2 linked regions of the Canis lupus familiaris genome follow. The protein of the gene in region 2 interacts with the protein of the main gene of each other region in a pairwise test. Links are inferred from orthologs where the notes say so. Each region holds a gene or a part of one and is shown on either strand. Other genes may lie near its edges. The genes, in order: FOXP1 and ZMYM2.

The links.
Region 1: the proteins of ZMYM2 (region 2) and FOXP1 come close enough for resonance energy transfer, tested with the Homo sapiens proteins (2 studies listed by BioGRID). The link is inferred for Canis lupus familiaris from reciprocal best matches to the Homo sapiens genes ZMYM2 and FOXP1.

The regions. Positions count from the first base shown.
Region 1 is NC_049241.1:20,573,773-20,578,373, forward strand, and holds the start of FOXP1 (forkhead box protein P1), read left to right. Parts: upstream 1-1,571; 5' UTR 1,572-1,941; intron 1,942-4,601. UniProt on the Homo sapiens protein: Transcriptional repressor. Can act with CTBP1 to synergistically repress transcription but CTPBP1 is not essential. Plays an important role in the specification and differentiation of lung epithelium.
Region 2 is NC_049246.1:18,147,657-18,151,466, forward strand, and holds part of ZMYM2 (zinc finger MYM-type protein 2), read right to left. Parts: intron 3,451-3,810; coding exon 3,335-3,450; intron 2,404-3,334; coding exon 2,232-2,403; intron 544-2,231; coding exon 418-543; intron 1-417. UniProt on the Homo sapiens protein: Involved in the negative regulation of transcription.

The sequences.
Region 1 (4,601 bases), on a different chromosome or scaffold from region 2:
AAAAAAAAAAAAAAAAAAAGGAAAACGAAAAAAAGGAAAAAAAAAAAAAAAAAAACTACTTTCCACCTCCAGGCTCCACGTGCATCTCCCCCCCGCCCTCCCCTCTCAGCCTCTCTCCCCCGGGCCCGGGCCCAGGCTCTGGGGTGTGTGTGTGTGTGTGTCGTGGGGGGGGGGGGGTTGGGGCCGGCGCGAGGGTGGGGGGGGGCCTTCGGCGGCGGCGCCCGCACGCTTGGGTCCATTTCCATAAGTCAAATGAGGGTGGGGGGGGGGGCGGCGACGGCGGCGGGGAGGCGAAATCGCCTTCCCCCTCGGCCTCTTCACGCCTGGCTCTGCGCGCTGGGCGATCGCCGCGGGGAGAGGCATCAATAAGCCCAGGCCGCCTGGCGCAACTTTCGATGTCGGGCGTCTGGGTGCCAGGCGAGGAGCAGGGCCGGCGCGGGGCCGGGGGTCGCGTCTGTGGCGGGAGGGGGCGCGCGCCGGGAGCCTCGGGAGCCCGAAGTTTGGACTTGGAGCAAACTTTTTCCCTCCGCTCTCCGCGAGTGTGTGCCCCTCCGTGCCCCTGGATCGTAAGGACGGGATGCCCGCACCCCGGGCCCCGCGCCTCGGGACATCCCCGGTGCCACGCGCGCCTGGCCCCGAACCTGGCCGCGGGGACGCTCCACCGCCGCCCCCCCCGCCCCCGAGCACAGAAAACTCGGACACACGCTCGCGCACCCCCGGCTAGACACGCACCCTCACGCGCGCTCGAGCCCGAGCACCCAGCCTTGGCGCGGACCGGCCAGCTCCGCGGGTGGGAGTGGGAACGGGGTGCGCTGCGGGGAGTCGCCGCGTCGGGTCTCCTCCCCTCCATCACACATACTTTCGGGGGTTGCTCTCCTTTGAAGCTTGGGGTACCGGGGCGGGGGGTTTCCCAAGCCTGGATGTGTCCGGAGGCGCGCGGGAGCCGCCGCGTCCCTGCAGCCCCGTCCCGGCGGCCGCGGCTCTCCATCCCTCGCCAGCACGCCGCCTGCCTCCGCAGCTCCCCGCGCTCCATCCCCATCCCGCGGAGGACTCCGCTGTGCCGGCCGCCGGGGCTGCGTGCGCTCCGGGCGGGGACGGCGGCGCCGGGAGCCGAGAGTTCGCCAGTTGCCGCGGGGTCGCGGTCATTCGCTGCCTCCGCCTCCCCTCGCCCCCGCCTCCCGCCCCCCCCCCCCCCTCGTCCCCAGATACCGCCGCTCGGAAACTTTGATTCCTTCTCCTTTTTGGCCCTCGGCGAGTCCCCCTCCCCACCTGTTGTGAGCTCCGCCTCGGTCCCCGGAGACTGGCGGTGACACACGCGGGCGCCGGGGAGCTCCGCGCCCAGAAACAAAGTCGCATGCCCCCTCCCCAGTGTTTGCTTCGAAATCGCAGCCTGCAGCACACCTCCCCCCCCCCTTCCCGCGCAGCTCCCGCCCCTGTGAGAATAAGGACTAAATAAACAGTTGTAACTTCAAACCTTGTGCCTGCGATCGTATGCCTTTCCCACCCCCTTCCCCCGTCCTCCCCCCTCCTTTTTTGTTGTTGCAACTTTGTAAGATCCTGGGGAAGGTGCTGAGACTTTGGCTCGGGCCGAGTTCCCGGTCTCGGGATCCTTGCAGGGATTCCCTAAGCCACATCCTCCTCGCCGTCCGCCCGCACTGGCGGGTCCTCCTGGTCCGCCGCCCCGTCTGCCCGGGCCCCCCAGCCTAATCACTTGTCCCACTCCCCCTCCCTCAGTTCCCCCCAACCTGCGCCGGGAAGCCTTGCTGAGGGTCGCCCTGGTTTCTTGTCGACCGCAGAACCCGAAAGTTTGCAAGAGGAAGAGAGCGCGCAGCGAGCCAGCGGGCAAGGGGCAGCGGCAGCGGCGCCGGGGACCATGGTGCTGCCGGCGCCTCCTCCGCGGGCGTGAAGGCGGCGCTCCCACTCCCTCCCCGGACTCTGCGGGTAAGTCGAGGCGGCCGCGGGCACCGGGGCGAGGACGCGGGCGGGGGCTGCGGAGACCCCAGAGCCCCCGGGGCTCTCTCCCCAAAGGGCCAGCATGGGCGGCGCGAGCGTAGGGATGAGGCGCCCGGAGCCAGGAATGTGCCCATCCTCAAGCTGGTAGGTGCCTCGGAATACTGGACTTTCTCTCTCTCTCTCTCTCTTTTTTTTTTCCTCCTTCCCCTTCTCTTTCCTAAATCCGAGAATCTGGAGATCAAAGTTTAGCGTGGAATGTAAAGTGCTCCGATAAAATATGGTGACATCCCTCGTCCCCCCTTCTCACCCCACTCCCCTCTTATAACTATTAATTATTTCCAAGTCATTGTGTCCAAATACCCTTGCCTGGCTGATTACAAAGTGTATTGATTTAGTCTGGGCTCATCCTACGCATTCGTTTTAATTCATTTTCCTTTGCTCGACCAGAAAACCCGAAATGAAACTTATTTCTTCCTCTTCCCAACACCCCGCCCCCCCCCCCAACGCCCCCCCACCCCCCAAGCTCTCATCTCTGACGCCTGGGCAGAATAATGAAATTAATATAAACATTTCATTTGGTTGCATTTAAGCTTCTTATAAGGAGCTGGTGTTGCTCTCCTGTCCGGTCACAGGTATTTTGCAAGTTCGGATTTCCTTTTTTGTTGCTGCTTTGTAAACAGGAATGCTGGAAGGGCATTCTGTATTCCTTTTAAAAGGAGTCTATACCTTGAAACCATCTACACTTTACCTTTGGTTGTCCGTAGGCTTTAGGATTTAGGGCTTGCACAATAGATGAGTTGGAAAAAAAAAAAAAACTTGAAGGATATTTAAGGGATTTTTCTGCTGCTGAAAATATATTGAAGAATCTCTGCAAATTTTTACCTTCCATCTCCTTTCCTTCGTTTTTCCATAGTGATAATCAGTTTGAGGGGAGATGTCTTAACTAGAATTAGGAGAGAAATGGTAAGACTTCAGGTGTTTTCTACTCAGGGTTAGCCTGCATAATTGAGACAGAGGAGTTGCAATTATTTTCAGTTCCAGAGAGAAATGTATCAAATCTTTTTTAGAATTCCACTGGAGTTTTGATTCTCAAAGTGGAAATACCCATCTCTTTGAGTCCAGGAAAAGAAAATTGGGCTTACAGTTTCAGAGATTTGGAATGTTTTTTTTTTTTTTCTCTCTCTCTCCCTGACTTTTCTACTTGAAACATCTCATAATTAAAGAGCATTAAAAATATAAAAAGAAACTCAACTAGTTACCATTCAAAAGATGTCAGCTAAAGTCTCACTGCAAAGGGGTGGTGGTGGGGGGGAAGGTTTAGCATCTTACCACTGGCAGCATTTTTCCCTCCTTAGACTTTGGATTAGTCATTGTATGAGAGAGAAAAAGAAATCAGTTTTTTTTTTTTTTTTTTTTTGGAAAAGTAAAGTAAACAGCCTCCAACTGCTGAACCTTGACAACCCAAATTAAGGAAGCAGGAGAGATCAAACAGAACTACTGCTGGGTTGTTGTCAGGAGCTCTACATGGAGAACTCTGGACTATTCGATCAAGCAGCAAAGCTATATATTCACTAATGCAGAAATGGACCATTGCAAATGCTGATCTTTGTTGTGCAAGCTAAGGCTCACTTGGAAGGAAATACTCCGCTCCACTCTAGGCAGCATTTGAGTTCCTTATGGATGTCGAGTTGCTCAATAAGTTATTTTTCTAATACAGTCTTGCTTATGAAGAGCATGCACGCAAAAAGGTATGGAATGAATATTAAGTCTTCCAGAGGCTGCCTTGCTACCCAGAACTGTGGAGTGGAATTCTTTTTACCAACATCAGACTCCTACACTAGAGTTAGGTAACGTTTTCTCACATCAAGTTTAGAAGATCTGCCTTGTCAGGAAAGCCAAGGTTTTGTATGTGAGGGTTTAAATCTGATGTGAAGCTCAAAAAAAAAAAAAAAAAAAAAAAAAAAATTCCCTGGTGATGAAGTTTTGTGTCAGCCCACTCTTGGAATTTAAAAAGGCGAGAGGGAGCATTCTCCAGATTAGACATAACCTCTTTTTTTAGATTGACATTCAACATGACCACGTTGCTACTTTTATTCAAGTTCTCTGTAACTTGTCCTTGCTTGTTGTCTAGGAAAATTTAACTGCTTTACATTTTTAAAGGGAGTAGTAACAGCAATTACTTTAGCATTTTGTTTTCACAGGTTTATCAAAGTATAATGAAAGCAACATCAACTATTCAAATTAACTGTCTCAAATTAAGGAGGTTATATTGCTGGAGATGTGTCTGTAAGATTTTGTGTTTATATTTAAATAGTGGAGTAAAAACTGCAACACTATTTTTTTTTGTTATAACTATCCCCAAATTAAGTGTCATTTTTAATTAAGTAGAACAAAGTAGGAAATAGGGCAAGTAAACACGTAAAGAAGAATAAAAATGATTGCCATTTAAGGATTGCATTTTTAATTAACGTGTCCATCACACAGTAAGCACTTTATGTTTTTTTATGTCAGAGTTTCATAACCATAGTGCCCAACATGTTTCAAAGTGTGTAGCTTTTATTGGATCTATCTTTTATTGTATAATTAAACAATGCGAGTTAAACATACACATGGAGGCTGTTAGGCAATTCTGTGCAATATGTAATGTT
Region 2 (3,810 bases):
AAAAAGACTTGAAAATACTTTTTTTCCCCTTGAAGGTGAAACTTAATTTTTAAAAAAGCTTATGAAAAATACTATCAACAGTTTATTTAATTTTTTAAAAAGAAACAACCACTTCTTTATCCTTTTCTCTATCTACAAAGTTTTCTATAATGAATTACATTAGGAAAGTATCTTTTTAGGCTCTAAAAATTTAGAGAATTTCTAAAGAAATTCTCTTCAAGTTTCTTCAATTCAATCCTATAGCCCATTTCAGAAATTAACTGTTGAATTTTGTTTGGGTAAAAAAAGACAAATATAAACAGTAAAGGTAATAGCACAAACATTAAATGATTAACAATCATAACCACAGTTATGATTCCGTAACTAAATTCCACAACCATAGTTTACACTTAAAGAATAAAAGAGCATTTTGAGTACCTCTGGGGAAATCTATTTCAATATCCAAATCTGGTTCATATGGTACATCAGGCATATTCGACTGTGTCTCCGGGTCAGAGTTCTTCAAGAGATCTGAACCAATTATGTCGGTTTCAATAATTACACCTGTAATCAAGTCATAATATAAAAAAATCAAAACAGAAGAACTTAAAAGTACCTTTATTTAACCTAGCAAAAGAAGTCATTTAATTTTAAATATAAAACAAGAATTAACACATTAATGTCACAAAAGGAAAAGGTATATATAGCTATCTTGAAATGTAACTACTATAAATTTTGTTATTGTTAGATAAGCAAGCATTAGCACATGGAAACTTTTAATCCTTTAACTGCCTCTTTTCAAAGGTTAACAGGTATGCTTTGATAAACAACCCTGGTATGCAGAGTATTTCTAGAAGCAATCTCTCATGAAAAATAAACTAATAAGGGTGGATAATGCCATTTTCAACAGTTTTTGAATTATGACCTAAGTTTTTCATTACAACTGCTTTCCAACGTTTTGATCAGTTGTTTTCAGTTTTATAAATTTTTTTTTATTTTTATTTATTTATGATAGTCACACCACAGAGAGAGAGAGAGAGGCAGAGACACAGGCAGAGGGAGAAGCAGGCTCCATGCACCGGGAGCCCGACGTGGGATTCGATCCCGGATCTCCAGGATCGCGCCCTGGGCCAAAGGCAGGCGCCGAACCGCTGCGCCACCCAGGGATCCCTGTTTTCAGTTTTATATTACAACCCACAGAAAGATATGCATTTTATCCATTTGAAGGTGGTGATGGGAGACAGAAAGACAAATATAGATACACATACAGGAAACAAAAGTTTCACAAAACAATATCCTTTCGATGAGATTCACACTAACATTTTCCCATTTCACTTCATTAAAAAACAAACAAAACCACTGGTTGCAACCCACTAAATTAATCTGTAACAAAGTCCTCAACAAACACTGTCACATTATGAAACACACAGAATTTATACTGCTTCTATTGTATTCTAGGGCAAAGGAGATTAGGCAGTTTTGTGGTTGAAATAAGACTGTGGGGGATCCCTGGGTGGCGCAGCAGTTTGGCGCCTGCCTTTGGCCCAGGGCGTGATCCTGGAGACCCGGGATCGAATCCCACGTCAGGCTCCCGGTGTATGGAGCGTGCTTCTCCCTCTGCCTGTGTCTCTGCCTCTCTCTCTCTCTCTCTCTCTCTCTCTCTATGTGACTATCATAAATAAATAAAATAAAAAAAAATTAAAAAAAAAAAAAAAAAGAAAGAAGACTGTGGGTAATACCAAAAAAGTAAGGGTAGGAATAAATATTCTAAGAGAATCATCTATAACATACTTATGTTACATTTGGCAAACACTGCCCTAACAGAAATTAGGATAAACCCTGGTTTAGATAATGCAAATTATTTTATTAAGTATAGCCAACAAAACAAAATTGGGGATAACCATTACAAAATAAGAGTTTGGATCATTATTAAAGTCTACTACAAGTTTTTTTTGTCTGAGCTAGTACATTAAAACAGGAATTCTGAGTTGATTTTACAAGTCAAATTCTGTTCCAATTAAAACAGGGACCTTAAAAATTCCTGCTTGAAATTGGGCATGGCATAAGAGACAGCATGTGCCTAGAAAGAGTATGGATCTCTTAATACAAAAATACGTTTTTGTTGCAATACTTCCCCCACTCCTATATCAAGTTGAAACATAATGATATGTCCTGCAACATACTATAATAATTACAACATTTATTGAAAACCAATGATACACATTCACAAGGTGAAATATAGTGCAGCTCACTGTTAATGTTGGCAGCTTCTGTTTTCCCCTCATCTTCAGTCATCATATCTGTCATTGTAAGCAGCTCTGTATCAAGAGGATCTGAAGAAACTTTGCTTTTTAGATCTTCAATGGCTGCAGGGATCTTCTCATTGCTATCCAATGAGGCAGGCAGAAAAACAGGAACCGGCACCTAATTAACCAAAGTATTTACTGTTAGGTTCACTCAACATTAGAAGGTAATTTTCCTGGGAGGGCAGGGGAAGCCAGTCTGGTACAGTCAGTGGAGGGTGTGGAGATTACTTAAAATTAAAATCTTTAGGGGCACCTGGATGGCTCAGTCAGTTAAGAGTCTGCCTTTGGCTCAGGTCATGATCTCTGGGTCCTGAGACTAAGCCCTCACATAGGCTGCTTAGCAGGGAGCCTGCTTCTCCCTCTCCCTCTCCGCTTTTCCCTTTTCTCCCTGCTCTTGCTCCTGCTTTCTCTCTCTCATTCTCTAACAAATAAATAATTTCCCAAATTAAAAATTATTCTAACACATGATCTTTATAATACCACAGTGGATAAAAGTTTTGGAAAAAACACATACCAAAACTAAGATGTCAACTATAACACAGCCCAGAAAACAAGCAGCCTTTTTTTTTAAATAAAAATTAAAGAAAAATAGTATTTGAGGTTCTTCAGTTTCCCAGGAGACTATGGCATCCAAGTCCTGGCATAATGTCTTTACTGCAAGTGACTTAGGACAAAATAATGTAATGATAATTTATATGAAATTTTATTCCATGTTTCAATTTTAAACCTTACAACTTCACAAATATTTTTCTCTAAAATGAACTCAAATAGAAAACACTACATATATGCATAAAGCACACAAAGGCATTTGCTAAACTTCACCTTTAAAGATGAACATATAAAAAATAAAAAAATAAAGACGAACATATACTTGATTAAACACAAAGCAAACATTGACAGAGATTCAACCAAACCTTATTTAAATGGTAAAGGCAAAGACTCAACCCTCTGTTCTACCGGCTTCACTAATGTAGGAATTACAACATTGTTCTCCTATCTAATGCCTGATAAACCTCGAAATGAAAAAAAAAACTTAAAATCTGACTTACAGGAACAGGAACTGTAGTAGGAACAGGAATATTCTGACTGTACATGTGCATAGGTACTGGGATATACACAGGTACAGGAATAGGCACTGGAACATACTCTGTTTTCCAATTATCATCTAAAAATACAAAATGTGTTTAAGAAGCAATATTAAATAACACTTAATACATAGTTACTCAATGTTAAAATAATTTGGTAACAAAGAAAAATTTAAGTTAAGCCTCAGTTCCCTTTTAAAAGAAATTAGGTACAGTTTCACAAATTTAAGTACAGTAAAAACAATAAAACTAAATACAGTAATTTTTAATAAAGAGCAAAAACAGAATTTAGCCCCCTTTTTAATACAAAGAAAACATCCTTTAAAAACACTATATAGTTTGAGATATACTATCAGATCCCCCTCATATCCCCTGCAAAAAGATTTATCTAGTTAAACAATTAGAATACATTTAAATCTTATAAAAATATACAATTGAAT